2 linked regions of the Lepisosteus oculatus genome follow. The protein of the gene in region 2 interacts with the protein of the main gene of each other region in a pairwise test. Links are inferred from orthologs where the notes say so. Each region holds a gene or a part of one and is shown on either strand. Other genes may lie near its edges. The genes, in order: hddc3 and ccdc172.

What was found.
Region 1: the proteins of ccdc172 (region 2) and hddc3 interact in binary tests that used the Homo sapiens proteins (3 or more experiments, as listed by UniProt). The two-hybrid records come from large-scale screens. The link is inferred for Lepisosteus oculatus from reciprocal best matches to the Homo sapiens genes CCDC172 and HDDC3.

Annotation. Positions count from the first base shown.
Region 1 is NC_090700.1:49,391,477-49,408,431, reverse strand, and holds hddc3 (guanosine-3',5'-bis(diphosphate) 3'-pyrophosphohydrolase MESH1), read right to left. Parts: upstream 8,251-16,955; 5' UTR 7,923-8,250; coding exon 7,811-7,922; intron 7,393-7,810; coding exon 7,337-7,392; intron 6,871-7,336; coding exon 6,630-6,870; intron 5,562-6,629; coding exon 5,431-5,561; 3' UTR 5,249-5,430; downstream 1-5,248. Other genes in the region: mfap1 (microfibrillar-associated protein 1), read right to left, coding at 1-87, 431-563, 1,212-1,428, 2,222-2,303; vps33b (vacuolar protein sorting-associated protein 33B), read left to right, coding at 10,413-10,508, 10,727-10,807, 11,034-11,095, 11,459-11,508, 11,777-11,844, 12,365-12,410, 12,813-12,907, 13,430-13,534 and 9 more. UniProt on the Homo sapiens protein: ppGpp hydrolyzing enzyme involved in starvation response.
Region 2 is NC_090699.1:42,659,981-42,676,223, reverse strand, and holds the start of ccdc172 (coiled-coil domain-containing protein 172), read right to left. Parts: upstream 10,356-16,243; 5' UTR 10,280-10,355; coding exon 10,201-10,279; intron 6,742-10,200; coding exon 6,656-6,741; intron 3,465-6,655; coding exon 3,348-3,464; intron 2,762-3,347; coding exon 2,596-2,761; intron 1-2,595.

The sequences.
Region 1 (16,955 bases), on a different chromosome or scaffold from region 2:
CTCCTCTTCCACCTCCATCAGCTCCATTTCCTCGTTCTTTCGCTCCTGCGCCCGCTGACGCATCATGGCACGCCGCCTCTCGATTTCCTACACACAAACACCGGGGGGAGAGGGGCTCACAGGGGACTCTTCTTTACCATCAGACAGCATCTTAACAGAGCACTAGCAATGAAAAGATTTGAGAACAGCAGGAAATAATCTTCTCACGTGTCAGGAAAACATCAAAACATTACAACACGAGAAGTCACACAAGGGAATACCATCTGACCCATCTTGGCTTGTTAGTAGCTAACTGATAAAATTTCAACAAACCACTTCTTGAATAATCCCAGGACAGTCAATTTATAAGCAAACTACTGTCCCAGGAAAGACACCGATCTGCACTTTCATACTAGAATCCAGTTATTACACCCAATTCCTCTGCGTTTACCTCATCGTCAACCTCCTCCTCCTCTTCCTCTTCACTGCTCTCCTCTTGGTCTGGATGCCAGCCCCCCTCATCCGACTCCTCGCTACTCTCCACCACCAGCTCCGGCTCTGCGATCTGCCTGTGTCGCGCCAACCTGAGGAAAAGCAGGGTCTGTGTCAGGGATAGGGCAATCAGACCTCACAGCAAAAGAATCAAAACGACATGACCCACAAATAATGTTATTAGTCCCACTGCCAGGCCGCTTTCCATTTTGACCATCACGACAATCAAAGTGTTATTTGGAATGACAGATCAACTATATAAAAATGACAGCTATACTGCATGCAGTTACATCCACTTAAAAACACAAAGAAGTTGCAATACAAAATTTACTGAAAAATAAAATAAATGAACTTCTGTTTGTTCACAATTTCCATTTTTAACTGATAATGTCACAATGGTGCAGTGATTAGCATTGTGTGCTATCTGATGGAGTTTGTATGTCCCCCCAGTGTTCATGTGGGTTAACCCTGGGTGCTCCGAGTTCCTCCCTCAGTTCAAAAGCACACCGGTAGGTTAACTGGACCTGGTGCGAGTGTGTACGCGTCTATGCCTCTCTGCCCCTGCCATGGACTGGCGTCAAGCCCAGGGTGTACCCTGCCTCGTGCCATTGTTTGCCCGGATGGGCTCCTGCTCCCCCATGACCCTGAACTGGAGGGAGCGGTTAGAAAATGGATGGATGTCACCAAGTCAAGCCACTTGGGGATGTTCTCAGCGGATGAACACTCCCCCCCCAGGGTACCTCTCCTCCACGTCCTCAGTGACGCGGTTCAGCAGCCGCCTCAGGCGGGGGTCCGACACATCCTCCTCCTCCAGCTCCACCTCCGGCTCCACCTCCTTGCCCTTCTTCATGAACTGGAAATCCTCCTCCTCTTCGTCCGAGGACTCCATGGGGGCATAGTCCGGGCGCTTTCCCGACACATAGCGCTTCACCTTCACCTTCTCCATAGAGATCTCACCTGCAGCAAGACACAGCAACCCCATTACCTCCCTCCTCCGCATGAACACATGCACACACAGCGCTGCCCAAGAGAGGGGCTGGGGAGAGTCCCTCACTCCCTGCTTCTCTCTGGCTCCCCCAGACAGCGCACCTCTGGAAGACTGCAATAACACACAAGCGCTACATGGAACTCCCTTAATAGTCACAGAAATCTGGAAACGATGACGACTGGTGTTTTTTATTACCCTTTGCGTTTCTTGCGATCAGACCTGTTTGAATAATCAACACTAGGGCTAAAGAGTTTCATTATAACCCAAAACAATTATGATCTGTATCTATAGAACACACATAAACGTAGCATTTTAATTTCTTAAATGGATTCATACACTTCGCAAATCAACACAAAAATACCAACATTTCTCTATTCAGTAGTATTATCAAATACCATATATGTATCGAAAATATTGGGTCTACGTTTTCATTAGCTTATATGTGTATTTGTATCGAGTGTAAACAAATAATCTCCCGCTTTGTTATTAATTATTGACTTTAACTTTATATCATATATTTATTAATACCGATACAAGTATTTATCCAGTATTTCATCATGTCTTACAATATAAAATTAACTTAAATGTATAATTATTTAACATTTACTTCAACTAATATTTTCGTGCACTTTCACAGACAACCTGTAGGAAAGTCAATCATTTTGGACACATTCCTCTCGGTATTCTAACTTTCAAACCGAAAACAAGGGCCCGATGATCACCAGTCCTCGCTTTATGCGGAGCCTCAGTCCAACAACTCACCTTTCTCATTGCGCACCGGCACGGCTCCGGCCGTGGATTGAATCGGCGGCTGCTTCACGTTGAGAGAATTCGGTGCCGCCATGACTGGACGGTAAAAATGACAAAAACAAATGCAAAAGAAACAAATGTATCTCAGATCAGCTTCACAACACACTCAACAACTATCTCCTTCCTCTCCGTAGCAGAGAAACAGGAAATACGACACCAAGCCGCCGGATGTTGTTACAGTGCTTGGATTCCGAACTGCAACAAAAAACTACAGAGCTTCCTCCTTAATCTTTATTTTGGACCAACATTCATTAACGTAGTGGGCGAATGAAAAAAAACAACAACAAATTAATTCCGTAGGTTTTATAAACAACATGTTATAATCTATAGAAATATTATTTAAAATAGCAATGATTATTTTTATTAAAATATTTACTGGAATAAAATTTGAAAGCACGAAAACCTAGTGTAAATCTACGGTTTGAAGCTGGTTTGTGTTTTAGTATATTTTATAGAAAATAATGTACTGTACGTCAACATTGCATATAAGTTAACACTGCTAAGAAAATGTATCGCTACATTGATTTCTCTATGCCGTGTCCCATCAAAAACATCTTTCTTTACATTTGAACTAAAAAGACGAGAACATGAATGGAGGATATTTTCAAAAGTAGAATAACGTGAGTTTAGTTTTGGAGTTTCAATTTTTATCATTTTGTGCCGATTCTTATTCGAGAATTATTCACCTCAGATTCCTCGCCTTCTTCTCTCACACACAACACACAACCACCTTCCGGAAGAAATAGGATCATGCAGTAAAAGAGTCGTTGTTTTGTCACATTACTTTATTTTATTCAAGAACTTAATTTACATTAGAAAAACAAAATTACAGGAATGCTATTACATCTGGGAGTATTAGTAGTAGAGCACTGTAACTGCCATTTTATTATAAAAGTAGTTGTTTCTGGGTTTTTTTTTTCATTCTCGTGTTTTCAGACTGGGAGGAAAAAGTGAACATATAGTATATTGTAGAAAATTGTTGCAAGAAGATTCTGTCTTCTATGGGGTTAACACTGAAGTTCACAGAGGTCGGTCAGCTGCGTTCTTCCACTTGCGACAGAAACAAGGCCAAAGTCATTAGAGGAAATGAGACTCCTCTGTTCTCGGGCAGTGCTTTTTCTCACTTGTCTCATGCGCAACTGGAAATTCACATGTAGGGAAGAGATGATGAGAACACAGACCGCGTCAAAAACTGAGACACCATATAATGTGTACCAGAACCAAGGTCCAGGAAATCCTGCAACAAGACCAAGACCATTAAGCAATCACCCACCATCAGAATATTGCTTTTTTCTGGTGTCATAGTTGACTATCCAGGAAATATAGGGGGCAGGGCAGGACTACACTCTGAACAGGACACTTGTTCATTGCTAGGTACACATACAGTACACACAGAAAGAATTAGTAGACACCAATAAACACAGTCATCATTACATTGGAAAGTATATGAAAACTGCATTTCACATCTATAAATCCCATCAAGAGTCTTAAAAGATTTGCATGCAATGATGATGTGCAACATGTGTTTGCTGAAAACTAGATATTGCTATATAAACCATGCAGAGGCAAACCATAAGTTTCCATAACAGAATAATGATTTGTCACTAATTCATTGTTGCATTAAGCATTTGCTTGTAAAAGTGGAAGATCTCTAGAGCCCTACTACACACACTACAGATTTCCAGGTTAAGAAGTTCCAGGTTGAGTTAGAATTTCTTACTTACGTAATCCCAAGATTTCAATGTAAAACTCATTGTCATATTCAAGGTAACCTAAAAATAAAAAAAATAGTAAAACTTAGTTTAAGTTGCATTTCTTTTAGATAATAAAAGATATGATTAGCAATAGTTTCATATTTCTTTAAATTACTTCTCCTGTCTTTTTATGGTTTCATAGCTACCATTAGACAATAAAAGCAAAACAAACCTTTGCAGATGAGACTATCCACCAATCTGGTATTTTTACATACCACAGACTGCTTTTCCCCATCGTGTTTTAGGAGTTATATTAAAATTAATAATTGTTTTCACATTGTACTCACTTCTCAGGAATATATTACTAGTCTTGCCCTGTTTTACCTTTGACTCCAACAGTGAACACAGCAAGCCAATACAGCATGAGAACCTTCATGTTTCTGTCTCCGTTCCTGCAGTATGCAGATCTGTAGCTTCCTGTTTGTGCTGGCAAACTTGTAGTTTCAGTTGGAAACTGTTGTGAACACGTTTTAAGAAACAAAACACACCCCAACACCTACAGGGTGGGATGATTCTGCAGAGACAGGAAGCTGACATGACTGAGGCAAATATTTGGTTTCTATTTGTTCCCTCAGTGGCATAGGCTTACTATAATACCACTAAGCCTATTTAAAGTTTTAAATGTTTCATGAGATTGTGAACCTCAAGTAGTGTGGGGTCTTATGGTGTTCAAAACAATGGTTATCTTTATGACACTGTAGCTGTCTCTCTCACAGTGCTCAACATTTGAACATAAATCAGGGTAGTTTCACACATACACTTTTCAGTTTGCATTGCTCTACAGAAAGCAAACGTTCTTTCAAATGTTCTACAGTAACAGTAAATAAAAGCTTTCTGTAACTATGAAATGAGCACAGTATTTACTGTAGTTGCTTCCTATTTGTTGTGTTGCTTTCTCATAAGGAAACAGAATGGTTAATTTAGCATGAGTGGTTTATATATTGAGGTTTGGAGATCTTGTCTCTGTCTCTAACCTGACCACAAATGGCTGCAGATCTTCTAATAACAATGATGTATTACAACCACTGTCTTTGACAAAGAAGTTGCAGATGAACATTTTATTATGTGTATTCTGAAGCAGAGAATACATAATATTGGTTCTACGATAATTATGTTGTAACTATATTATTAGACAAACTGAATAAGTGTGCACCTTGTACATGTGGAATTACTGCATGCATAACCTATAGTCTGTTAAAACAAAACGATTATAAAAAGACCGGGACAGAATACAATCATTCGTCTTTAATAATACAGAAACAACCAAAAGACAACGCGAGCTGTAAGTGCCGAGGCCAGTGCTATCTAGGGCAGAGCCAGTTCTGCTCCCGTCAGGTGAGTAAGGAGCCCCGCACCGGAGAAGAGGTAGTGTAGAGATTGTGGACGGGGTGTCTCTGCCGATGGGAGTCAGGACTCGATGCCTCTCTCCCTGAAGAGCTGCTGCAGCTTGTCCTCCAGTGCTATGTTAGTGCCCCGCAGACGCTTCACCACCTCGGCTGCCCACAGGAAATACTCCTGCACCCGCTCTGCTGTCCAGCCTGAAACAACGCAAGGTCGGAGTCATCGGCTCCACGCCCAGCAGATCACACACATCAGGACGTTCGAGTCTGCTCACTCTGAAAGGGGTTGACCACATTGTAGTGGAAAGTATTAAATTACCCTATGCACGCACATAAGGAAGTTCAAGTTATACTGAAAGGGCAATAACAGGGAATAGCTATCTTGCGGTAAAGTAAAAGGGGAACATGCACAAAGAAGGTATGCAAATATTTACAAGACCAGGATGTCTCCGAGTTCCTGTTGCGAAACATATACTCGAGCCATAATGTTTTTTTTTAAAACCCTACAAACGATCTTACACGTTCAGTCGCAGTCACACAAATGTCAGGCTACAACACAACAAAAACGTATTTTTGTTGTGGCCCAAAGCTATCATTTCTTATTGTGACAAAATCTGAAACACTGCATAATGGCTCACATCACAAAAAAAGTGATCTATAAAAATGTATATGTACAGCTGTGAAGGAGATCGTATTTTCAAATAATAATAATAATTGCTCACACTTATATAGGGCTTTTCTGGACACTCCACTCAAAGCGCTTTACAGGTAATGGGGACTCCCCTCCACCACCACCAGTGTGCAGCATCCACCTGGATGATGCGACGGCAGCCATAGTGCGCCAGAACGCTCACCACACACCAGCTCTCAGTGGGGAGCAGAGTAATGAAGCCAATTCATAGAGGGGGATTGTTAGGAGGCCATGATTGATAAAGGCCGATGGGAAATTTGGCCAGGACGCCGGGGTTACACCCCTACTCTTTTCGAGAAACGCCCTGGGATTTTTAATGACCACAGAGAGTCAGGACCTCGGTTTTACGTCTCATCCGAAGGACGACGCCTGTTTACAGTATAGTGTCCCCGTCGCTATACTGGGGCATTAGGACCCACATGGACCGCAGGGTGAGCGCCCCCTGCTGGCCCCACTAACACCTCTTCCAGCAGCAACCTTAGGTTTTCCCAGGAGGTCTCCCATCCAGGTACTGACCAGGCTCACACCTGCTGAGCTCCCTGAGCCTCTCTGTGGCTGCCCTGTAGGTGACTCACCAGTGGGAGTGCAGCGGTTCAAGTCCCTCAGGTTGTACAGTTTGTCAGCCAGTTTGACCAGCTTGGCCTGGTGGCTGCAGTGGGGGGCGTGCTCCACCTGCAGCCGTTTCCTCTCCTGTTTGGGAAGGGACCTGTCGTCGGTCACCTCCTGGACGATCCGCGCCACTGTCGTCCCAAACATGGCCTCCAGCTCCAGCAGGGTGGTGTCAGTGTCCTCCACTGTGTCATGGAGCAGTGCAGCCTGCAGGGGGGCACAACAACGTGCTCACTGACAGCTGACCACACATTTGAACTCCTCCAGTGCTGGAGGTGATACAATCCTAACAAGATGTAAATTTAATCAACGGATTCAAGGTAATAAATTAGGCAGTGTTACAGACAAATCAATATACTTCTCATTTACTTAACCATTTCATACCTGCAGAAACACAGCAAATCCATTCCTAGAACATCTGTTAATGCAAAAATGAACACTGCAACTGATGTAGTGCACACTATTCGGGTTACACAAGAAAATATCTTTTCACATTGTTTATTCTAATAAGATTGCAAGTAAACTACACATGCATACCCAAATGTGTCACTCATTTGGTACAGATTACAGCAGTGAGAGCAGCCCGACATGTACCTAAGGATACTTCCATAGGTACTTGCATGTTTGTTACTGGGGGGGTATGTTGTGCACACAAGAATCAAATTGCTTTTACCTGTAAAACTGCAATGTCCGTAACTCCACCTTCCTGACTTAAAATTCTAGCCACCCCTAGAATGGAAAAAAAAAATCTTAAAGTCCAAGGATATAGGATTCCTTTTTTTAAAGGAAGCAACAGGAGAGAACAATCACACTAGTATTACAAATCTTTTATAAAAGTGATTCATTCTTAAAGAGCATCTCCCGACTGTTAACACATTCTCTTGATAAGAATTATAAAATGATCAAAATTATATGCAACGTTTTTACATCAACAATTGAAAATCACCATGTGACGAACAGCTTGCTTGTTTCGACTATTTTCTTCTGAGAAAAGTTTGCAAAGGGAAAAGGTTAATAATCAACACACAAATGATACTGTACGTCATGTGTGCCACTGTTATACATCAGAAATATCTATTCAACTGCAAATATGCAAATATTTTCAACAAAGAAATGCAGTGCAATCCTTCCGCACGGCGGGCCGTACCGATGGGGTGGTTGATGTAAGGGGTGCCTTCTGGGTCTTTGCGCCGCTGGTACTTGTGTTTCTCTGCGGCGAAGTTCACGGTTTCCAATAGCAACGCTGAATCCGAACTCATATTTGATCTAACTTCAGCGCGATACAGGTTAAAAAAAAAAAGATTCACTTTTCTCTCCTCTGAAAATGACGCCTCCCTGTGGTAGAAAACTTGAAACGCTGCTCTTTTATCTCCTTCGACATAGAGCTTTTGATCAACTAATGAACGCAAAACGAAAACGTAACAGTATATACTTTAATTTGCCAAAGTAATATTGTGAAATCTAAGTTTATCACCGTGTTACAATTCTAAATAGTATCAAATACAATTTTAATTACTCCATTAAATATTGTATAATAGTGATTTTTAAGTACGAACATAAATCCCGTCGTGTTCTATCAAACAGTTTCTTTCCCTTCTTCCAGGATGTGTCCCTTTTGTGTCATCCGGACTGAAACAACCGACAATAATAATTGCTTCCGCAAGGAGGAAAGGAGGAGCAGGTAATATTATTTGCTTTCTTGTTAATTGGGCATGTGTAAATACTACAGCCATTTAAAGTATATATTCGAAGTGTTGCTGTTGTCATCTAGTTATTGTATTTGAGTGGTGTATTTAATTTAATGATAGTGGCTGGCTTAAGGCTCGATTGAAACCCGACGTAAATTCAGGGTATCTACTGTACATTTCCACACGAAGAGAGGAGAATTTCCGTAAATATAACTGTAGCAATAATATAAGATGTATAAGATTGTCCTGAGCATTTTAAATACGTTTCAAAGTAAAATGAATACATGACGACGACACGTATCAAATAATTAACGCAAGACTGTAGGGATATGATAGATTATCACTACGTACGTAGCGCTTTGTATTTTTTGTGTCTGTACGTGGCGTTTCATTATTTGCGATTTTATTATATACTGATATCTGGGTGTTGGCGCACTTTTAAACTGAGTGGTAGCCAGACCATATTGGAAGTCATCTGTTGGGCCATTTATTCACATCTTATCGTCTCAGAAACCAGTTGGTAAGATCTTTATTACGTTCCGCGTACATGTTCGCGTCAGATAATTTTACATGGAGGACAATGGGCACATTGTAAACTACAGCGTATTGGAGGACACATTAGCTATTAAAATAGCACAGTAAGCTAACTCTCACAGAGTCCTGCATAGAATGATCTCCATGGTGCAATGTTTATAATTTCTGTACATCACAATATAATAGTAGTAGATGCATTCATAATAGTAGTAGTTCAGGTGGGTAGCTGCGTCAGCATGCGTAGGCTGCAAAGGAACAAGTAATAGGTTTATTCCATGCTGAAAAAAAGAAGAAAGAGAACACAACGTTTCGGCCGTGGAGCCTTCTTCAGGTGTGTCAAGAAGGCACACACCTGAAGAAGGCTCCACGGCCGAAACGTTGTGTTCTCTTTCTTCTTTTTTTCAGCATGGAATAAACCTATTACTTGTTCCTTTGCTTCATAATAGTAGGACTATTGTTTAAAATTAAAATTAACCAGATGAATTTAAAGCAATTTTGTTAATTTCTAATTGACCAGTGAGTTTTCTTGATTTCCATCTATCCATCCATTTTCTAACCACTTTATCTAGTACAGGGTCGCTGGGGAACCGAAGCCTAACCCAGCAAGCAACGGGCACGAGGCAGGGTATATACTGGACGGGACACCAGTCCATCCCAGGACACACACAGACACATTCACTCACACCAGGGCCAGTTTTCCCAGTGGCCAATTAACCTGCCAGCATGTCTTTGGGCTGTGGTAGGAAACCAGAGCACCCTGAGCAAAACCCACAAAATGGGGAAACATACAAACTCCACACAGATACCAACCCAGAAACTGAAACCAGTGCCCCAGTGCTACAAGGCAGCAATCTAAACCCCTGTGTCACTGTGCTGCCCTGCTTCTGTGATTTGTTAAATTTGTTAAAATTACAAGGAGCATCTGTGCTGTCACATCTGTTCTTGTTTTGCTCTAAACTCAGGACTTCAGCAGAGAAATACCGGACTGAACCTAAACTGTGAACTAATAACTCAATGAACTGAACTCATTGAACTAATGGTCTATCGTTCTGAATCTGAGCGAAACCTACAACTTTAGAATGAGGATTCTGGCACAAGCAAGCACCACGTGTACTGCCAGGAACACAGCAGGGCACACAGAGACCCAGCTGCCTTTGTCATCTTGCTGTTGAGCACTGTGCAGTAGCTGCAAACGCACGCTGTAGGCTGTTCATATCACAGGTGTGAAATTTAACCTGGAAAACTGGACAGTTTTTCTGTTTTTTAATTGGAGCAACAGTATAGATTAATTCCTATATCAACATAGGACTTACAGTATCTGCACGTGTATGCCAGAATGCTCTTATTTAAATCCAGGATCTGTGCCTGCTGTGATCACCTCTCAAGACTTGGAACAACTCTCAGTAACCCTGCAGTGTGGGACAAGGCAGCACTGCAGGACTCAGCGGCCTGTGTGAGCCTATGGATTGCTTTTTCAGGGACAGCTTCGAGCTGCTGTGAGAACCACCCTGGCTACCCTCTGCCCTCATGGCTCTCAGCAGCAGGAGAGATGCCCCCCAGCCACCGGACTTCTCCTTCCTCAAGAGGCTGGCCAGGGACCAGCTCATCTACCTGCTGGAGCAGGTACAACATGGCTGTGTCCGGCTGTGAGCGTTTGTTACAGGACTGTGGTTCTGTACAGTATGATCTCATCATCTTTGTGATATGTTGAGTTCTACTGTTTCATTCATCCTCTCCATGCAAATTAATACCAGTGCTGCATGTAAAAGCTCCTGAATGCAAGTATGAACCTTAATGTAATTAAACGTAATTAATGATCTCCTATCCCTTCTCATCATCAGTTACCGGGAAAGAAGGACCTGTTCATTGAAGCGGACTTAATGAGCCCATTGGATCGCATTGCCAATGTCTCCACCCTCAAGGTCTCTTTTAACTCTGACCTCTTCAGTGTTGCACAGTGTTCTGTTGCCTTTAACCTCCAGAATCCAGCACTTCTGCACTTATTTAGGGATCACATATTTCCTGCATAGCGCCCTGCAGTGTCTGCATGCTTGGGTTTCTTTGGCTTTGATGGGGATTCTGATCAGGGGTTTAGTAGAAGTGAGGCAGGTTCACCTGCAGTCTCACTCAATTTTGCCTGTTTTCCAGCAACATGAAGTGGACAAGCTTTACAAACTGGAGAACAAACCCATCGTCAGCACGTGCAATCAGTGAGTATTTTCTGAACTCTCCAATAAAGCACCTAATATAGGTGACCTGTACATTTCACTTGGTTTAAATCTTTACCTTTTTGAATCACAGAAAAGAAATCCAGGGAGACTCTCACAATGTGCCACAAAAATCTAGAGGGATGTTGAAATGTCAGCTTGTGTGCTTTGTTTTATGTATGCTGTACATTTTACTGAAGTTTCCTAACTCGTGGAAAGGATAGTTACATGATGTTTAATCATAATGTTTGGTTGTGCTTTTACCCCTTTTTGTGAAATCATGTTTTTGCCATTTCTGGAACAAAGATTGCAGAATGTATTGCAGCATACAATGTAACAAACAAAATGTTGCTGTGCTTCCTGTAGGCTGTGCTTCCTGATTCGGCCAAGGATACAAACAGTGAAGTGGATTGCTGGTGAGTAGGGCCATCGGGGGAGAGATTCAGTGACGAAAAACAGATTGGGGATGGGAGGAGAAAGTTAGAGATCTCTGTAACTCTTGCTATGTCTTTGAAGAGGCAGCAATGAGATAAAGCAAAGTGCATTTACTTCAGGCAAAACTAATTTCAGGCATAGGCAGTCTATTCGTTGTGAATAGAAAATGACAAATTTGACATATTTTTGTGAGCATCTTTGCTTTTAAACCAGAATAGAAACATTTATCTCCACCTCCTTCTTTTCCAGAGATCGTGAACACAGACAAGGCAGCTGGAAGACTCAGGGGATACAAGATCATCTTCTGCCCACAGAAGGTGAGCTCTCCAGGCCTCATCTGGGGAGTACCTTCTGGTTCCTTTTTAGGAGCTTGAAGCACAGAAATTAATTATTGCACTTCAGATTGGCCAACTCAAATGAGCATAACACTTCCTTATTTATTTAGAACATATTGTAAATGTGGTAGAGAATAGAACAACCTATTTTGGTAAAAAAACATTCAAAGTGCTTTTCTTCTGTGCTGACTGAGAAGTTAATTGGCTGCAGACAGAGTGGCAGCATTACCCTCAAAAAGAAATCAGAAACAGTTATGTTTTTTTTACATTTGGTCCAGATGCATGAAATATATTCAAATGAATAAACATTGATTTCCTTTTGATTTTTTCCTTAAACGATTTTTGTGTTTAAGAGTTCAGACTAGTCAAAGAAAAAACTGTCCAGATTCAGTACTTCAGTAACTCAAGGTTTTTCCTTCACCTGGGGTCAAGACAGATGAGGTATTAAAAAGGGCTTTTGATTGGCTGGGTTTTAACTGTATGTTCTTATTTTTATGCTCAGTTTTATGCCTGTGAAATCGTTTTGGAAGAACAGGGAGTTTACGGAGGTGGGTATACAGGACACCTGTATAGTACGTCTTCATTCACAGTGAGACGCCTGACACATACTGCAACCCAGAGAGTTACATCATGATATGTGTGTTGTCTGATGTTTACATAAATAATTGCAGAGTATGTTTTTTTTAAAAAACATCTTAATGTATTGCAATGTATGTCTTCATTTACAGTTCTTGAAATGTCACTGAGTATTCACAATATTGATAGTTTCTCCCTTTATGTAATTATTAGCAATTGAGCATGCTAGTCATTCTAAATCAATTCTGTTGTAAATTCACCCAGAAGTTCCTGTGCTGTTCCTGCAGCAGTGGAGGTATCAGCCAGTCTGCGAGGAGGTCTTGGGAAAGGAGGAACGACACTTACTGTACCTGTCTACCCTTTCACTCCTGCAGATGTCAGCACTGACGAGTGGGCTTTCTACCTCCTGCCGCTGGATGATGACATCATCAGCCTGGAGCTTCCAGAGATCTTCAGAGACAATTTCCTGGTAAGCAGGCAAGACTGTCACAGTGTAACAGACAAAATTTCTTGCCTTTAAATATTCTCACCGTCAGAATACATTTTGCCACAGAATCTCCCGTCGATCTATGGAGGCTGTGGAATTTTGGCTGTTGAGGAATTTCTTCACCTCGTTAGAGATAAATCAGAGATGGCTTAGCCTGTTAAAGATGATTAAGTATGGACACTTAAACCTGTGATAATGAAAAGGCATGTCACTATAGAAACCGTGAGTGGACAGTGGATTATGGGTGTTATCGTGAAATCTCTTCAATGACTAATCTGAGCTGTTCCTGTTTTGACTTATCTAGGGTGTATAGCCACAGTTTAGTACGATTATGTTACTTTTTATAGTCTTAATTGTGCAGTTGAAAACACTAATACAACTGCATCGATCAACAGTGTTAAGACAACAATACCTTCTTTATACAGTGATATACTGCATAATTGCAGCTGTAGATCAAGTCAGTGTTGTATAGGACATATGTCATTTTGCCCTTGTTTCTTCCAGGAGGGGAACCAGCGTTGGATCACAACTGCAAGCAAATCCCTCCACCTCCTGAACTCTCTCTATGGCCCCTTCTTAAAGGTGTATGGGATTGGTCGTTCTGCCAAGGTAGGCTCCCAGCCATCACCGTTACAGTCTGACTACGCCAGCCAGTCCCACCAGTGTCCTGAGAATGGCCTGTGTCCCTCTGGGTTTTAGATGACGTATGATATGTGGAGGGATCTGGTGGAGGACGGGGAGCAGAAGACCCAGCAGCCTGAGATTGGGAATGTCTTCCTTATTGACCGAGGTATGGAGCCACTCCGGAAGAAAAAGACAGGGGAAAGGAACCCTGAAATACATCAGGGTGAAGTGCTGTAAGGAGGGGTGAACAAGATGAAGTTTCATTTAGTACTTCTGAAGTGATCACATCCTCTTTATTAATTGTAGAGCTAAATAAACTCCGTTTGTGCTTGTTAAAGCCTTGGCCTGAGCTGGGATTAGTTGGCCATGATCTTCTTGGCTTTCCATACAACAGGACTCCTGTGACCTGGATGAGTAAATGATTAAAATAGTAATTAAAAAAAAAAATTACAGTAAACACAGGAATCCTCCATCTTTGCATTTGCCATAATATACCGTACATGTCAATATAAGAAGGTTCTTTGTATCTCTCCAAAGTTTCTGTGCTCCATGTTTTGGTAGGTGTGAAAGTGGTCTCAATGGTATTTACATTGTTTTATGCTTGTTCAGCCACTGTCTCTGTTCCGTAGATGTGGATTTTGTGACCCCACTGTGCTCCCAGGTTGTTTATGAAGGACTAGTGGATGATACATTCAGGATCAAATGTGGTGAGTGCTGTCTTTGGCTTCCTTTACGCATACAGATTTTGTCCATCACTGGTATTCTCTTTGAAGCCTGACCTAAAACATATTATTGAATAATATGTGGAATTCTGCTATACATCAAAAGGAGATATTGTACAGCTGAACGTCATAAATATGCCATGCGTCATCTTACTGCTGGAAACACTCATAACTCCTAGTTCCTGTGGAGATAATTTCATTTAATTGTGAGCACAGTGTTTTCAAAGCAGTACAGTACAGGGATGTCAAAACAGCTTTGCGAATCCAAGAAATACAGTAGGTTTGTCACCTAGCCTTGTGCTTTGTTTCTTGACATGTGTTCCATATGGTTATTGCTCCAGAGCAATAATTATGTCCATGCTCTTTTGCCTGCAGGCAGTGTGGAGTTCAGTCCTGAGGTCAGCTCCTCTGACAAGAGTGTGAAGGTGATGCTGAATTCTCAGGATAAGGTGTGTAGAGAGACAGTGCTGTGCGAGTGGCTGCCACCTGCCGTATAGAGTTTGAACCCCTGCGTGCTGTGTTGCAGGTATTCAGTGAAATCAGGAATGAGCACTTTTCCAATGTCTTTGGGTTCCTGAGTCAAAAAGCCCGGAACCTGCAAACTGCATATGATGTGAGTACTCGCCTTTCAATGTCTGCCTGCTTTAAACACCGACATTTGGTTAGAAAAACTATCTCAGAAATCGCTAATATATTTAAAATACTCTTCTTATTTCTTTAATCTGTGGTTTCAGAAATTCTCAGTAGAAATGACAATGTAGTGCTGAAAGTGGTCTATGGATTTCCAGTCTTCTCCCCTTATGACCGAAACCTGCCCGGTCAATATCTTTCTGTTCTGTGTGCCTCAGTTGCTGGCTTTTCTCATAACTGACCCACCCTCTCTCTGCAGAAGCGGTGTGGGATGGATATTAAGCAGATGAAGAATTTTGTCTCTCAGGAGCTGAAGGGGTTAAAACAGGAGCACCGCCTTCTGAGTTTGCGTGAGTTTCTGTCCTGAGTCAGCTTTGCCCTCCCAGTCCTCCGAGTCAGACCCACTGCCTTCCCAGTCCCTCCTGTTTGAGCACTGGGGTGTAGTACTGTGGCACTCAGCACTCCGTGCTTAATTCTCAGGCTCCCTGTACTGTCCTGGCCTCGTCGTTTCAACAGTGTCCCGCTACAAACATAAAAATACAGCTGTTTTAAAGTAAATGCCTTATTTCTGAAGCCCAAATATTATTTAATTGTGGATGCAGAATATATTATCTCCCCTAGATATCGGTGCCAGTGAGTCCATCATGAAGAAGAAAACCAAACAGGACTTTCAGGAGCTCCTGAAGACAGAGCACTGTGAGTCCATGTTTCTCTTCGTGCAGTTCCCGAATGTCCTTTTCACCATCATTTGGGATTGGTTGATCTTTGTGCTTTATCAATTTAATATAAAATAAATTAATAGCTTCTGTCCTCTGCTTGATTCTGACACTTGTTTGCAAATTCAGCTTTGTCATGCAATGTACACAGTAACATGAGAGTTGTGTCATGCACTCTGAACTTTTCCATTCTTAACTACATAAGAACTCCTGTATACCAAGGCTAACATCAAGAGAAGGCAAGCTAGTGCATCTAGCTTGTTTGGTTTCTAGTTGCTAATTGATCAGAGAATCTCATCTAGCCATTTCTTGAAAGAAGATAGGGTATCAGCTTCAATTACATGGCTGGCAAGCAACAGCTCTTTATATAGAAAGTGCCTTCTGGTCTTGGTTTTTAATTTACTTACCCAAAATGTCTGCATGTGTGCTTTGGGAGATTCCTTTTAGCTCAGGAATGTACTGAGTTATTCTACTTCAGTCTAGCAGTATTTTTTATAGAATGTGATGTCCACAGTTTTACGCAATATTCTAAATTACTAGGGCATTGTGTTGTTAAACAAGACCTCTTTTGATTTGATTTCCTGCTACAGCTCTGCTGGAGGGGTTTGAAATCCGAGAGTGCATCACCTATATAGAGGAGCACATCAACAGGCAGGTGAGAATCTCAGAGGTGACATCAAGTTGTATAACCAAACATGAAAGTAATCTGTTAAAACAGTAAGGCTCATCAGAAAGCTACTTGCATGAGGCCGGTGTACAGTAGATGTTCTAACTGTGTGTTTGGGTATTTAATTTGATGGGGGAACAGTGTTCACAACTACCTAATCACTATCCCATTCCCATGATTTGCTATTCATTAAGTAAGTGACTGAGTTACCCCTTTGCTGCTGCTGCTGCCCTCAGGTCTCCATGATCGACAGCCTGCGACTCTTGTGCCTTCTCTCCCTCACCGAGAATGGTGAGTCTCATCCCCTGGGAGCTCTTTGCACTCCTGTGACTTGCGAGAGAGAAGCCTTTAGGCTTCATGAAAGCCAACTGGTTATCCATGATTCTGCCTGTTCTTTGTTTCCAGGTCTACTCCCCAAAGACTATCGATCTTTGAAAGCTCAATACCTGCAGGTAAGTTAAAATATATTTAAAAACTACTATGATAAAAGACTAAATGTTTGTTTTAAAACAGCTTACTGTCATTTTCCACTGACCTTGACTATGGAATGTCTTACGAAGTCACCAGAATGGTGATAGAGCATTTGGTGTTCTGTTACTGCTATTGAGAGTTTGTTTTGTCACGTGATTGTGCACAGAGATTCTTCCTGGTGCCAGTAACTGCTCAAGCCC
Region 2 (16,243 bases):
AGACCGCTTCAGAGAACACGTCACGTCAGGGCTGTGAAGATTAAAGATCTCTCCAGGCCCACTGTTTCCCATTTCACCTCTGACGACCACGACCACTCTAATCTCTCCGTCTGTGTTCTCAAAGACGGTTTTCTGAACTCATACATCAGAAAGACCACCGAAACCAAAATTATTCAGCAGCTAGGATCACACATTCTCCCTTCTCTTAACGACAGACTACTGTTCATTTAAGTTTTCTCCATTCATTGGAAGTTTCATTTCACACCTCTCTGCACCCATTCTGACTTCACACCTCTTGATTGGCCTCTCTTTCTGTCCCCTGCTCCTGCCTCTCACTCCTCCTCCCTCCCAACCTTTGTTCTCCCGCTACTTTACCTTTGCCTACTGCCCTGTCTCCCTCACACCTGAAGTAGGCTCCACGGCCAAAACGTTGTGTTCTCTTTCTTCTTTTTTTTTCAGCATGGAATAAACCTATTAATTGTTAAAATATACTGTATATGTGAGTTAAGAAAGCCAAAAGGGTATTAATTTTGTTTGAAGACCAAGTTTCCCTTTTAACTTACAGGGACTAGAGAGCAGAAAAGACTACTTTCTGTCCCAATTTGCATGAACTCTAGCTCTCACCCACGGTAAGACAAGCAGTTTGCAACATCATGATGAATGTACAATACTTTCACAGAGTTCCCAATTTTGTGCCAACTTCAAACTGCAGTTCCCCTTTCACTTACTTATGGGAAGCTGACAGGAGCTTGTAGTTTAGTTGTAGTTTAATTAAAGCAGGTGATCCAATTAAGACCAGGTGTTTGTACTTCTAATGGATATAAGCTCAGGAGAAGAGACAGACACGGACAGTAGCTGCTAGAGAATGTGCCAGAGAGAATAAAAAGGGGAAGAAGAAGAAATCTGAATCAGAGTGGGGGAAGAGAGAGTAATGTTTGTAGGGGGAAGAACACTGAAGGAGAAAATTGTGAGTAAGACACATTGGTCAATTGAAAGGAAAGTACAAACTCTTATGTGCTTAAAAAAGGAGCATTTGAGTGAGGGGTTGTAGTGGAGATGCAAATGCAGTATATTAGGGTGGAAATGATATCTCAGATTTTACACATGATGATAACCATTTTAAACATACTCTTCTCTAACCAGAACACCGTAGCTTCCTTCTCAATGACTACAGATACTTATTTAACCCTGTTACCAATTGTCCCCAGCGGCAACCACTACATTTCACTATTAATTACTTCATTTACAAAATGAAATGTATGGAAAATAAACTCATTTATATAATGTTCTTCCATTTCAGTAAGCCTTTAAATGGGAGCTCTACAGGGGTAGTTTCTGTGTCAGTGTCTAAAAGCACACACATCTTAAACCTTTAAGATAACTTTTCAGGTGGATGAAGATGATCTTTGTCAGAAAACAAACCCACCCAGGCACTTGACTACTTTCAGGAGGTACAATGCTACATATTTCTCTGAATCCTCAAACAATATTCAAAATTTTAGATTTGCAGACCAGAAAGGATGACTCTTATGAAAAACATAAACTGGAAATTTGAATGATGTAAAGATGGAATGAAAGGAAAATTTAAAGGAAGGCTTATTCTGCTATAGATAGCATAATGCTCCAGCTTTTATACTCAATGCCATTAAACTAAAATAATAAAGCACAAATGACCAATTTGATACTCATCCTATTACTTTAAAGCAGTTGGACAAACTAAGGACGTATTGAAAACAATAAATGAAATATTTCACAAATAGTGTAGGTTCACATTATTTTTTCCCTTAAAAGCGAAATTTCTGAAATAGTACGCAGTGTATTACATTTGATAATGTATTCTAATTATTTCCTTTTGTAAACTACCCAAATACAAAGAAGACTGAAAACCTGAATGTCAATGTCAATCTTTCATCTGTTCATCATTCTGTCCTTAATGCCTCTCCATTAACGTTTTTTATAGAAATCTTGATAGCAAAACATTATTTTCTTATTCTTATTTAAGAAGCATCAAAAGCATTACTTTTAACTATATCAGTGTGGGCTGGCACAGGACACAGTCTCCATATTTGTGAGCAATCCCTTTTGGAACGAGAAGGTTTAAATACCTCCAATCAGCCCTGGATCAGCTGGCTAAACCTGTTCCACAGCAATGCACTTTGATCCCACTGACAATGACCTACAGTACTACACATTATGAATGCAGGATGTCATTCCTCCTTCACCATTTGCTCTGTTAAGCAAGGAGCCTCTTTCCCTCACCAGGTGTGCTTCATTTTTAGTTTTCTCATGAATGGGTGACTTTTCCTCAAAGCCACCTCTGTCTCACAACCCCCTTACAACTCTCTCATCATTGGGATCTTTTCTCTTTGACGGATAGCCCTTTTGTATCTTAGGGCATTTTTAGTTGTATCATTAAGCACTTGTAAACAGTGCCACAACCTCTACTGTTATTGTAGTTACATATTATTGATTGCTCTGTCTATGTGCATCTGGAACAATGGTATAAAGTCTCTTGGCAAGGATGCAATTGTCAACTGACTTATCTGGTTAAATAAAGAATTATTACTGTGCACCAGTTAAGTGTACTGTACCTACCCTTGATTAAAAAAGTTTCTTCCTCTTCCAATTTAAGTATTTCTGCCTTGGTTCTGGATTCCATAATTGCTTCTCTGTCTGTCAGTAGACTGTAATCATCATTGAAAGCCATGATCTCTTTCATAAATTTTTCCTGCTCTTCTGAGCATTTTTGTCGTATTTCCCCCTGCATTTTACAGGGTCAAGACAGAATTGTGAACAAATGTTAAAAATAATAAATTCTATTTATTATTTTAAATTTGGCACCAAGATTTACACAACTCTGAACAATTTGAGAAAGCACACATTTTACACAAAGCACAAATAAAGAGGTTAGAAAACAAAATAATACTAAATTATTTCTTGTTTGCACAATTAAAAGAATGGATGTACTGTATCTGATTTCTTCATTACAATTTGGAAAAAAAATGAATATGACATTCCTCCTGGCTAAACGCGGTGAAATCAAGCAAGGCATTATATCTGTCTTGTACATGCATCAGCACTGTACAAGGCCTCCCCACTGCGCTTCAGAGCTTTATGTAATAATAATTTGCTTCCATTTATGCACGTTATAATTACAGAGAATCACACTAAACACATACAGTACAGTATGAGGTGGCAAGTCAGTAAACAATAGAAAGTACAGTTCTTAAAGCTTTCTTTAGATAGTAAAGAAATAGTTCTACAGTATGTGCTAATAGATATCCACAACATGCAAAGCATGCTAATAGATATGAACAACATGTAAAACACACAATAAATAATCTTACCAGGGATTCTATGAGATTGTGCTTTTGTTTTGAAAGGTCAGCTTTCTGCTTTTCAGTTGCTTCTTTGTGCATCCTTAATAGGCCACACTGCAAAGCAGTTTCAGACAGAATCCGGGTCTGTAAGACAATTTAGAAAAGGATGTTTCTAGGGTTGAAATTTGCATAACCATTTTTACCATAAATCTCTGATTACTTAGTCATTTCATTTTCTGAGTTGTTTTGTAGAAGTAAATGCTTTCATAACATTGTAGGGGTTTGGGTGTTTTAGTTTCTTGTAACAGTCAGAAATTGTAATGGTAAATTGCGAGAGAATTTGATGACTTCTAGGAATCAATCAAACATAACTTACAGTCTCACCCAGGGATTCTAAATATACAATATACAACCAAACCAAAATATACATAAAAAACAACACCGTAATAGAATATAAATATATTTGTGAAACAATCAACTGTGAACATGAATGTCTCATCGTTCACATCAGGGATTGATCCTGATGTAATCATTCAGGGATTACAAAGATCAGAGTTAATAACTTCAGAGTAAAGATACTCATCGACTACAGTATATTGAGTTGCAGTCTGTTGTAGACTATCAGTCTAAACATCAAACATGTGTGGCAATAATAATTCAACTCTCGAGAATTAATATGTGAATGATGAAATAAAGTTTTGATGATTGGTTGAGATTCCATTAGGTTTGGTTCTGGTATCCACCCTACAGATCCCTAATTTGTGGATCTTCCTTTGGGTGATGGATAGTGACCTTTGACCTGTGGTTTTTGGGAACCAACCTCGAGACTGGCTGGAGCCTATCTGTGCTATGTATCATTAAATGTACAGCATGATACAGCTTTACGATGTCTTTTATCAGAGGTGCCTTAAGCCACCTTTCTCTGCATTTAGGGACAGGCACCAAGCTGCTTTTTTCAAAGCACAGAAAGATTATTAGAAATCTTAAATAATACTTAATTCCTAGTGTAATAATAAACCTTGTCCCTACAATATTTTCCACAGACATTTTGATGGTGGAAAACAGGGCATGTTCCCATTGCACTGATTACTGGAAAACTCTTCCGATCCTTCAACCTTCTGAATTCAAACTTATCATACTGTACCTACCCATTTGTCTCTGTCACCAACTACACATAAACTTAATTTGATTAGTAACTCTCACTTTTATCGTCTTTTAAACATATTTAAAGCTTGACGCAAGATGCAGATAAAAATCATTGCAAACATCTGTTAGCAAAATGGAAAATTAGAAAATATCTCTACAATGAAAGCAGATGGCAAGAACTGTATAGAAGTGAAAATTGTTTATTTTGACAGTTCACATTTTCTAGGTCATTCAGTAATTACTACTATATTGGCATTTAGATTCTGAATATTTCACCTTTTTTCAACAAGCTTTTTAAAACTGTCCATTCAGCCGTGAAAGGCAAATGTTATCATTCAGCTTCTAATTACATGCTACCTGCCTTCACAGAACACAAGTAAATTAATATTTGCTAGATGTTTTCTTATGACCCCCAAGCAATCTCTACGAAGTAGCTGTCATAAATATTGCATTCAGGACTCATGTTGAGCGTGAACTTGAAAGTAATAACCATTTCATTTGGCATGTGTTTCTAGCATTAATTTCCTCTGATCTTTTATGCCAAAATAGTTTTTTTTTTTTCATATAAGCTGCCTAGCCAACCAAAAGTGGATTAACATACAATTTTTAATAGTCAAAAGGAAATGGGGTGGCTCAGGCTACATGGCAGAAATGACAAGCATCAGACTACAGTTTATACAATGGCTTTTCTCATTAGAAACACACATTACTGCTACCTGATGGGACACTGCAGTGAATTATGCAAGGAGCATGAATCAAAATGCACAAAGTCACAAGTATATAGTATTCATATAAAAGCCTACAACTGTCAGTAATTACCCAGGACTACATTATGTTGGCCTTGTTTTAAAGAAAACAGAATCTCTCACTGAAAATACACTGTAGTTTCATAATATAACTGTAAATATATAACGTCAGAACACAGAATTGGATCATCTTTTCAACAAGTATTCTGAATTTGTAGCAGAGTTATTGTCATAATACCAATACAGCAAGTTTAAAACTGAAAACATTGGTTGCCCCCAGCACCTCTTATTACAAATTAAGCACTGCATTTCCTTCTTCACCAGCTTTAGTACATTGTACTTTCACTCTAATTTCAACAAATTGTAAAATAAAATGTTAATTAAGAAGACAAATTTTAAAAATTATGACATATTATGACTATAATTTTATTTATGTGTCTTTAAGCTAAAAGATAATATATTAAAACTAAAGTGACTGTCAGCTGACATTATATTTGGTATTCATACAAATGCGACCAATTATTATTAGCATTTGTACAGTAATTATTTTTCTGACAAAGCTGGCATTCATGTAAATGAAAGCACTTTTGATTTCTGCCATATATTGCCTAAGAAGAAGGTTAATCTAGCCTTCTCATATATATTAGCCTCTGTTTAAAAGGTTTACAATTGCAGCTTGAGATTGATCTTTTTTGAAGAGCTCTTGTCAATAAACAAGTCATCATTTAAAAGTGCTGAAGATTATCAATATTTCAATGGTTTTAATAACGATATGTGAAAGAGATTACAATCTCTGCAATATAAAGAACAGGGTCACTTAACTGAAGTTTACAAGTGTTCTGTCACAGGGAACATTACAGCTAAACGGTTAGAGATTCTGGTAATTTCATCAAATTATACCATACTTTGGATGTCTTCCTGACTGAACAAATTTCAACTAACACAGCAGAAATTAAAATAGTGGATGAAATGAGTTCTCCTGCACAATTTGCTGCAAATAAAAAAGAGGCAGAATCATTGCACATTTGACACTCTGTTTTGTGTTTTATGAATTATATTTTGGATTGATAAAAATGAAATGTGATTTAAGATAAATTTCATTCAGACTTCAAATCTGAATGTCACCACATCTACACATCTATAACTTCCTCATCAGTGACTTGAATCCATTTTTAAACAGCTGAATGTTACTCAGGGTTGAAAGTTCGTAATCCAAAGATAAGAGTGAAAAAACACCAATTCTATCACTGTCACTATGTGCATTGTCTTCCAATTACTACAGAAAAACAAACATTCATTACACAAGTAACATAGTTGATACACTGTACCATTTTTAAAAACACAAAAAAATAAGAATGCATACCAATTAATTGTTACAGCTACTACGGCTTCATTCCAATTGCTCGCATTTACTTCCTAGGAAACTTCACAATTTTAGCTTACCTTTTCTTCTACTTTCATTTTTGCACACTCTAGTTCTTCCATTAAAGTCTTGTGTTTTTCTTGATACCAGTCAATTTCCGCTTTAACTGAAAAAAAAACAACAGATCGGTTAATAAAAACTCTACAGCACCAATAAAACACTCAATATAACTGTAAATAATGAGACCTGCAGGTTTTACAGATAGCCCTACTCACAATGAAAGATTTATCAGAACCTTGAGAAAAATAATAAAATTGACCTCATTTAATATCAGAGGGTGATGAAATTTCACTGTTGATTGATGTACTGGATTATATATTGATTTGTCCTCATCTTTAAACAATGTTCATAAACGCTGAAGTTTATGGTTTTAGATCTGTAACAAATTAATGATTAATTAAACATTTTCATGCACGGTAAATCTATTCAGCAAAGCATTTTCTTTTAAATATAAATCATACTTAATGTTAATCTGGGAAGTATAACAGAATTAAAATTATGTGTAATTGACCTTCTAGCTGGAAGCGACCTTCTTACTTGTCAAATGAATATGGAAGACTCTTCCATGAAGTTTTTTTTAATTATTAGGTTTACAGTAGATTAAGACTAAAACAATTTTTTGTGTTTTTTGCCATTTGCTGCTCAAGCTTCAGGTTGATGTCTGCACTCAACTCGTCTGCAGGTGCTTGTTTGTTTTCCCTTGAGTTTAACGCACAGATATCTCCAATCCCCAATCATGAAGTATGTTGATCATTGTTGATGAGGTCTTTCCCTGGGAGTTTACCGCTGACATTAGACTTTAGATATCACTGCTCGTCAAACAGCAGCATGTGGAGCAGTCTTGGACACTGAAGCTCCTGCCAAACACACAACAAACAATCTACTCTCTTTCTATGAGGTCTCTTCTTGCCTAATGCCTAATTACCAACCAGGCCTGTCCAGCACTTTCATGCATGAGCCTAGGTATGCTGGGAAGTTATTTGCTTTATTTACTGTAATTCATGACCACACTTGTCATAGCCCTCAAAGGCAACACATTTGGTCGCCCTCATTTACCCAGTGTAACAAACAGTTCTTTCCGGACCCTATGCGGACGACACAATCCAAAGAAGTGGGGAAACACTGGGAAAACGTCATGCAGGAATACGGGGCTGAAAACAGGGGGGCGTGTCCAAAGTGCGCTGGTGCATGGGGGAGGTGTGGCCGAGACAAACAATCCAAAAGAGTAATCCATAGAGGGTATCCAAAAACACAAGAGAAAGTCCATAGCCAGGAGATCCATCCAAACAGGCAATTAAAACCATGAACCGGACCGGGACCGGGCGCTTCCAGGTCCCGGACTCGCACGGTGCGGAAACCAGATGCAGAGCCAGGATGAGCGTCAGCGCCTGGCTTTTAAGGTGGGCTGGGAAAAAGGGATCAGGTGCACAGAATGAAGTCTAAAGTGAAAGGGCTGGAGCACCCTTAAGGAGGGGGGACTATAATTGTGACACCCAGGTGTTGCAGTTTATTTGGTCCAATATCTGTACATTGTCATTTCCTGTGATTCTAAAATTTACCACAGTAATTACAACACAAGATCTCTATTTTTAAGACGTTAAGCAAACGCCTTAGAGCCATTCTCACCCCTCTCTTTTGTTTTCTGTGCCCCACCTCTTTCCCTCAAATCTGTGTTCTCCGTCTCTCTGTACATTTAACAGTTATACAGCAGAAATCGTACATGCTACAATCTCTCAATGGAATCTGGAACCTCTTTAACACATAAAACAGACTTTTGATTTACAAATATAAAAAATATGAAAACTCCTAATTATTTTGTTCAGTGCAGCCCCATTCAGTCAACTTCTGTGTTAACTTTAATCCAGTATGGAACTCAAGAGAACTGCCTTGTTATGTTTTTTTTTAGAGTCTGCTTTCTGAATAACCTTTGAATTAAACTCCAATTGTTCTCCACATTGCTATGATGACTTTAGACTGTCATTGTTATATTCGACTTTGAACCTGGTATGCCACAGTGAAAGAAAAAGTTTCACTGTGTTAACTGAATCCGTTGCTGTTCTCAACAGCTTCCACTGTAGTTCAGATGGTTCTATGAAACTGCAATGCCTTAGTGCAAGCATCCCTGCTGGGAAATAATATTATAAATTACAGTAGCTGGGTTATTAGTGTAACAATTGTGGTCCCGCTGGTAATAATAGATTAAGCCAGCATAATAGGTGGGCTTTATTTTTGTCTCCCACATGTGACCTGTCAATGGTATTTGCTATTATTTTTTTTTCCAATCCCACACAAAACAATGGTTTAAAAGAGACTGCAGGAACAGTAGCCAATGTACCAGAATTAAAACGCATTGTTTCACTCATTTTGGACAACTGAGGAAATAGGACTACTGTACTACATCAATGTCAAAGGTGATGCAGGAATTTATAAAGTTTTGGCCTTATATTGAAATATGTAAAACAAATCATCAATAGGAAATTGGTGCATCATACAAGTTATCTATTATAAATTTATATCTTACAAATGAAATGTTAACTAATGCAAGATACTGTATGCTGATATGCTACAATACCAATAGCTGTCAGGCAACCCAGCAAAGTGCTGCAGTGTCTCAAGGCCTACAGTATGTCAGAACTGTTTTGGCAGTATTATAAGGAAAGGTTCGTTAAACTGGCAGTGCTGAATATGGAAGAACGGTCTGAGGAAAGAAACCCCAAATTATCTGCGTGACAGACGGTAATCTGTTAGATATTAACCAGGTTTCAGGTACATTTTGTAAATAATCTTTCAATACAACAATATACAGTACAGTACATATACCTGCCTTTTCCTTTGTTTCAATAATGTATCATTTGAGAAGTTCGTTTTAGAACAAATACTGTATAAACCTAATTAATTTACAAACTTAAACAGGATCAGACGGCACTTCAAGACCAGTATTAGTAGCACAACGGGTATTACGATATACAGTAAGTGAATTGTATACAGTATGTACTTGCAAAGTTATAAATTACCATATTAAATAATGGTTTATATAGTTTTTACAATCCTAAGTGATGGTGTAGGGCTAATGTCAGAAGTAACATTATCGCGTGTTTAGTCTCGATGGATGGTAATAATGTCATCTTTATCGATTTCTCAAGCGTTTATATCTCTTTAATGATGTGGCATACAGTAACTGGTTTGTTCGACCACAATAGTTTTCCTGTAATGTTAAGGACTACTCCTGGGAAAGATGTATATTTCTCTGACACTGCATTACAGTACTATGCAGATAGAGCAACAATAACTTCAGTGGTTTCGCAGCAAATTTAACTATTCAAAAGTATATCGTGGGTCTTCTAAAACATTCCAGTTATACTATCAATTTGTCCTGTAGGTTAGAAGAAAAAAATATAACGCCCCATCCAACAACAATCCCCCCATTCTGTTTGCGACATAAACCAGGCTCTTCAGTTTTTTCAAAACGAAGAACACGTTTTGTGCTCATAATATTTACACCAAATAAAATACGAAGTTTTTTTTTCTCCACTCAGTCGAATATGACGATATTTTTTTTAATTACCTTCCAGTAAACGACGTCTTTTCTCTTCAGCCTCTTGTTCTGAAAGTAAAATGTGGTGAAACAACGAGTCCAGACTCATATTGCAAGTTAATTCAAACGTCTGGAAAAGTTCGAGAAAAACAGCGGTTCGTTACAGAAGAATATGAATTCTTCTATTTGCGGAGGTAATGCACGAGTGACCACAGAACACCCCTTAGGTCCCGTGATAGACTCTTCTAAAAGAAGTGTAATGATGCTGAGATTGCTTTATAGTATATACAGTACAGTAGCAACGTAAATCCACTTAATTTTTATATAATTTATATGGTAACGAGTATTTGTAATTGTTTATTCCTTAAAAGGTCGGTGTCATTTTCTGACAGTCGATGGTTGTAGCGTTTTGGTTTGTTAGGTTTTTTCAGCGGTAGCTTATTGGGCTTCTATTTTAATAGGATTTCAACAGGATGTTGCTTTTAGAAAATGATTTAAAGAGTGATTGCTGTGGTTGAGTTGGGCTCTTTTACAGTTTTATATGAGATTTTACTAATACGCACGGACAAATGTGTTAGTTTAAGACTTATTTTGCTGTAACTTCTTTTGCTGTACTCTTCCACTTTTAAATTTAAATCAGTGACGGATTTCTTTGCCATAATTTAAGTTGATCGCTGCTTGCATTTCAGAGTGACTGCCGGACGCTATTCGTTCTATCATGAATTATCATTCAGGAGAAAATGGTTAAATAATATATTTCACGTTTATATTTTTTTCTTACACTGTTTATATAAATATGCTGGGTGTTTATAAACAATATGGCTCAAAATGTATTTCCCTTTCCCGCTGATTTCCGGGCACCTAACAGTGGAAAGGAAGATTAATTGAGGGGTCATGGTTGGGTCCTTACTGGACCAGCTTTTTAACTTTTTAAGATCTTAGTAAAACGTATACCTTAATGCAATTATTTTTGCTATTCTGAAATTGTCTATACAAACTCTAGCCACCTTTTGTCTTTTATTTAGTGTTTTATTGGTGGATTATGGAATATTTTGCTTCCAAAGTCTGAATTGTTTTTATCGTTTTTATCATTTATAAATTGCATGAAACAGATTGCCAGGGAAGGAGTCATAATAGAAAATATAGCTAGACTTTAAAGACTAGGATTTTAAGGCATCAGATTTCAATTTTTGTTTTGTCAATCGCAAGAAATATTCAATTTGTCTCCTCATGCTCCCCACTATGGACTCGCTATCAAACCAAAACTGCTCTTCTGCTTCTGCTAGCCCAGAGCACTAACAAAAGATTTACCTTGTCAAACCCCATGCCAGTTTAAACTAGTTACAATGGCAGAAAAAGAGAATGCTGTCTGGGACTGGAGTTGTGGTGTTATCCTGGCATCACAGGTGAAGTTCCTGCAAGTCTGAAACATAGTCACCAGATACAGGGCATTCATACTGTATACCACATCACCAAAGCTGCCAAGTGTCACTTGGAAATAGTGGAACCATTAGTATACAGTATATAGGTCTGTCCTAAAGTATATATTATATTCAGTTGTGGGTTCAGGTCCCCAAAACAAACACTGCTGCTGTATCTTGAGTAATATGCCTTACGCCAGTTACTCCAGGCCACCCAGCTGTATAAGGTGGGGACCAGCATTTTAGTGTGGTAATTACTGAAATGGTCCAGCTTCATCCAGGGGGAGAGTCACATGCTCTCTAACCCGCTTAATGCTGTGACAACACAAAACAGGTTAAGATCTGGCCTGATGAGGTCAAGTGTTTAAAATAGGTAGAAGTAATAATAAAATTTTACAATAAGGAAGTAATAATGCAGGAGAGTGTAAGATGTTGCATGCAAAAACAAAACAACAAACATGAAGCTGTATTATCTGTACTTATACCTTCCAATTATATTAATTACTTTTTCAAATGGAAAAACAGTATTGCTACTGTAAATGTTTTTCTCTTTGTTGAACAAGCTATTGTGTAATGAGCTATTTACACCCAAACACCACAGGTAGGAGCCCTGCACAACACACATCCTGTCCTGCTTAATTTCCCTACTGATACACACCAAACCTGTAATTAAAACACCAAAAAAACACCTTAATGACATTAATGGTAAGTGCTGAAAAAATAACCCACGTGCAAACAAAGGTGTGTACTAAGTACTGCATTCTTCTTAAAGTACTGATTAAAATGTCCTTCCAATAGGATTTCTGAAGAGCCTCTGAAAAGCAAACACTAAAGGATATTTTAAATATTGATTTCTGGTGTGTTGTTGTTATAAGTTAGGTTTGTTATTAGAAAAAATGTATGTGCAGTATCCATTCATCAATTGTTTGGCAAGTACTGTATACAGTATCTGCCTCCCTAAGACAAAGACAATAGTTGTTACACTTTTCTAAATGAGCAAAAAGAATAGTATAAAATCACCAACATTCGAAAGCATTTTAGATCTCCAGTTTATCACAGCTGCCTTTAAGTGAGCTATTAGAGCTGCCAGCAAAAGTATTGTTTGATGTTTGTAAGCATAGTCAGCAATCAATAACTTTAATTCTATGCCATTTGGCCCTTTAAGATTTGTCACATCATTCTTTACTTTATTCAATTTCCCCGCCGCAGTGGAAAGAATGGTTTTGAACCAGTGCCATGAAGCACATTAAAGTGTGAATGGGAACTCATTTATATAGCAAAGACTATATCATTTTGACATTCATTTGGAAAATTAATAGTAAATATTGATTGAAGCTTTACATAAAACCCAGATTTATGCTGTACACCTTTATAGTGAGGTTAGCAATTTTGTTCCTTTGCAAAAATGTGCAGAGTCATCATATTGCATTTATGTAAAATTAATGCATTCTTTTTAAATGCAATTCTCACCCTTGACCCTAAGCCTGATGAAAACTGTTCTAGTAGTCCAATCATCATTTGTAGTCTACTGTACAGTATGTGCAAGAGCTTATTGAGTATGTAAGTTCTTTCATACCTCAACATCACACTACTGTAAGAACATAATTGAAGGGTCACAAAGATTGAAAATGACTTTCTTTTAAAAACATATTGCTGTTAAGAAAGATGAGTTTTAATAAAAACTTTAATTTGGGATTGTGGACTTCACAAAGAATGGCTTCCAGCCTTCAGTTTTGAAACTTAACAAGTGGATACACTTGTATTTGTGTAATATTATAAACATGGTATGTTTAAAATGTCCTTAAACATTTTGCAGATGTTTATACCATATCATTAAATTGGTGGAAACTGAAAAACAAAAAGCATAGTAAATCACTGAATAACATAACTTAAATATTTTGTCCTAGGAACAGAGGTTAACTGCTGCCTGGTACATACAATGTATAACTGAAAAGATAAGATGTAGTGTGTTGTGTACAAGGTTTAAATGATTAAAAAATAAGGAGGCAACAGATAAAAGTGCTTCTTTAATTTTTTTAAGAAATGTAACTTGAGTGCTTGTAGTCAACGAAAAGTCAATCTTCAGTCAATTATTTGTAACCTGCAAATCAATCTGCTCTAAAAACGATATACCGTACAGTATAACTATACAGTATATAACTAGGGAAGCAGAGGTTAATCCACTAATCCAAGACTGAATTCTCAAATGACAAGGCACTATTAAAATGTATCAATATTTAGGTGATCTACTGTACATTTGTGAGGGAATGCAGAATTTTAATTCAATAAAAAAAATCCATGCTCAATCATGTACGGTTATCTTGTGCTTGTTGGTTTATAATTAAATGTGTCTACTTGTAGGTTTACATTTGATTCATCTTAATACAATGAACTCTTTACTTCCCATTCTTCACAGCATCTATGCAAGTTATGAGTTATGGAGGTGGCCAGAATGCACTATTGAAGGCTCTGTATGTCAGTGGGATTTGATAACACTGTTTTGTCACAGAAGTGCTGCATTTCAATTCACGTCTAGCACATCCTGGCACATCAGTTGTAGTGATTAGACTTTAAAAGCATGGGTTATGCAGTGTCAAACACAAGATCTAAATCTTTACTAAAGAAACAGATTTTGCTGTATGTGTAGTTAAAACTGTGTCTTATATTTACATAACACAAATTAGATGTGTTAGTTTTTATTTTATTTTTCAGAAAGCTCTAAAAGTCAAAAGTAATTTAGGGCATAAGCCCCAAAATACAGTCAGCATATTGTAATATTATAGCTGCCTCACAGCTCTTGGGTCCAGTGTTGCATTGCTGTTTGGACACCTTATGTGTGGAGTTTGTATGGTCTTCCTGTTTTCACATTGGTTTCCTCCAGGTGCTTCAGTTTCCTCCCGCATTCCAAAGATGTGCTGTTTCAGCATATTGCGGTGTCTGAATTATCCATGTCTTTGTAAGTGGGTGTCCTTCAATGGACTGCTATCCCATTCAGGGTGTATTCTTACCTTGTGCTTATTCAGACTTGTTCAGTTTTAGCTTTTAACATCATTTTGTACCCGGAAGATAGCAAACAGTGATACTGTGTTGGACCCTTTGTAAAGATATAGTTGTGCACCTCAAGATTTGTATAAGGTACTGTATAAGGTACAGTACCAAAGATATAATAAAATACAATTGATGTTTAAAACTGCAGCTACCTACAAGAAATGGTTTACTGTAGAATAAGATTTACTGAACTTCTCATCCCCCAGTGCTGCACCTCCTAAAAGTGATCATCATAAGCAACAATCGATAAACTTGGTTATCTCTGGGAGAATTTCAACAAGACTTCAGGGCCAGGAGAAAAGCTGTAATGAGAGGGATCTCTGTAGTGAAAAGGCAAGTCACTCTGTGAAAAAAAACCTTACAGTAGGAACAGAGAGGTATTGAAGCTTCTGAATAAAGCTGCCAACCCTTCAAAGATTGTTATCCTGGAGGTCTCAATAAAAATGTTATTTTTTAGCGAGAAAGTACACCCTCCCCCAAACAAAAACCATGGACCCATGTAACTGATTTTCAGCCATGGGGAGCTCCATTCAATTTTGGAATCCAGCAGGTTTGTGGTAGAGACTGTTCCTGCTGTTGTGTCCCCATTGCACATTGGCAGTAACCTCGAAATTAGCAAAAGAACAGCTCTTGAGAATGTTATTTTAATAGTCACATGTGCTCTTCTTTGTCTTTGAGGTTTAACAATTCAGATGGCTATTCTGAATGCAGTAATTGATTTGTTTCTGTTCTTTTACCTTATCATTTTATACACTAATGGTCAACAAGATGTTCAGGTAAAGGGTGTGTAAAGAAAATGATTCCAACTGCTCAAACCAATTTTAAGATCAAGAACTGTCTGTCACGCACCTAAATGATCAAAATTGACTGCTCTCTCCCTTGTCCTTTGCAAATATAAAAAATAAATTTCATCCTTCATGACGAGTGGCCAAATATAAGACCAGAAATGCTTATTTAAGATATATCAAATGTTCTCTAATTACCAATATAATGTTGTAATATTTTATATTTTAAACGATTAATATTCTATCTTTTACATTCTGAATTCAAAACATTGTTTGCAAATTGTATTACCTGATAAGAAAAGTGTACAGTACAGTTTACAGTAGACTGACAGTGAAGATTTCCCACATCTGTAGGTTATTTTTTAGTTGCATTATTAGCTTTAAAATGTATGTAAAAAAATGGCAAAATTCTTAAATTCAAAGCCTAAACTCAAATAGGCTATTCAGAAATTCGTCGTTGCTAAAGGTCTTTCTTTTGAGCAGAAACCGATTGTAGCCGGTTTCGTAATGTACATATTTACAACAGTTAGAATAGCTCTTCGCCTTGTAAATACAGTAGTATATTTTTGTCTTCCTGTTCTTAGAATTTTCTGTTTATCTCGAGCTCGTGCTAGACTGATATGACTGCAATGTATCAGTGGGTATCGCAGCGTTTTATGAGATAATGCTGAAATGCCTTTGGAAACAGCCAGGCGGCTCCATTGGTCCATGTTTCTTCTCTTGGTGTTATTAGTCTTTCAGACATAGCCTTCCTCAGCTCAGGTAAACACAACGGGGAAACCAAATTAGGTACAGTAGGTTCTCACGGTTTCAGTTTGT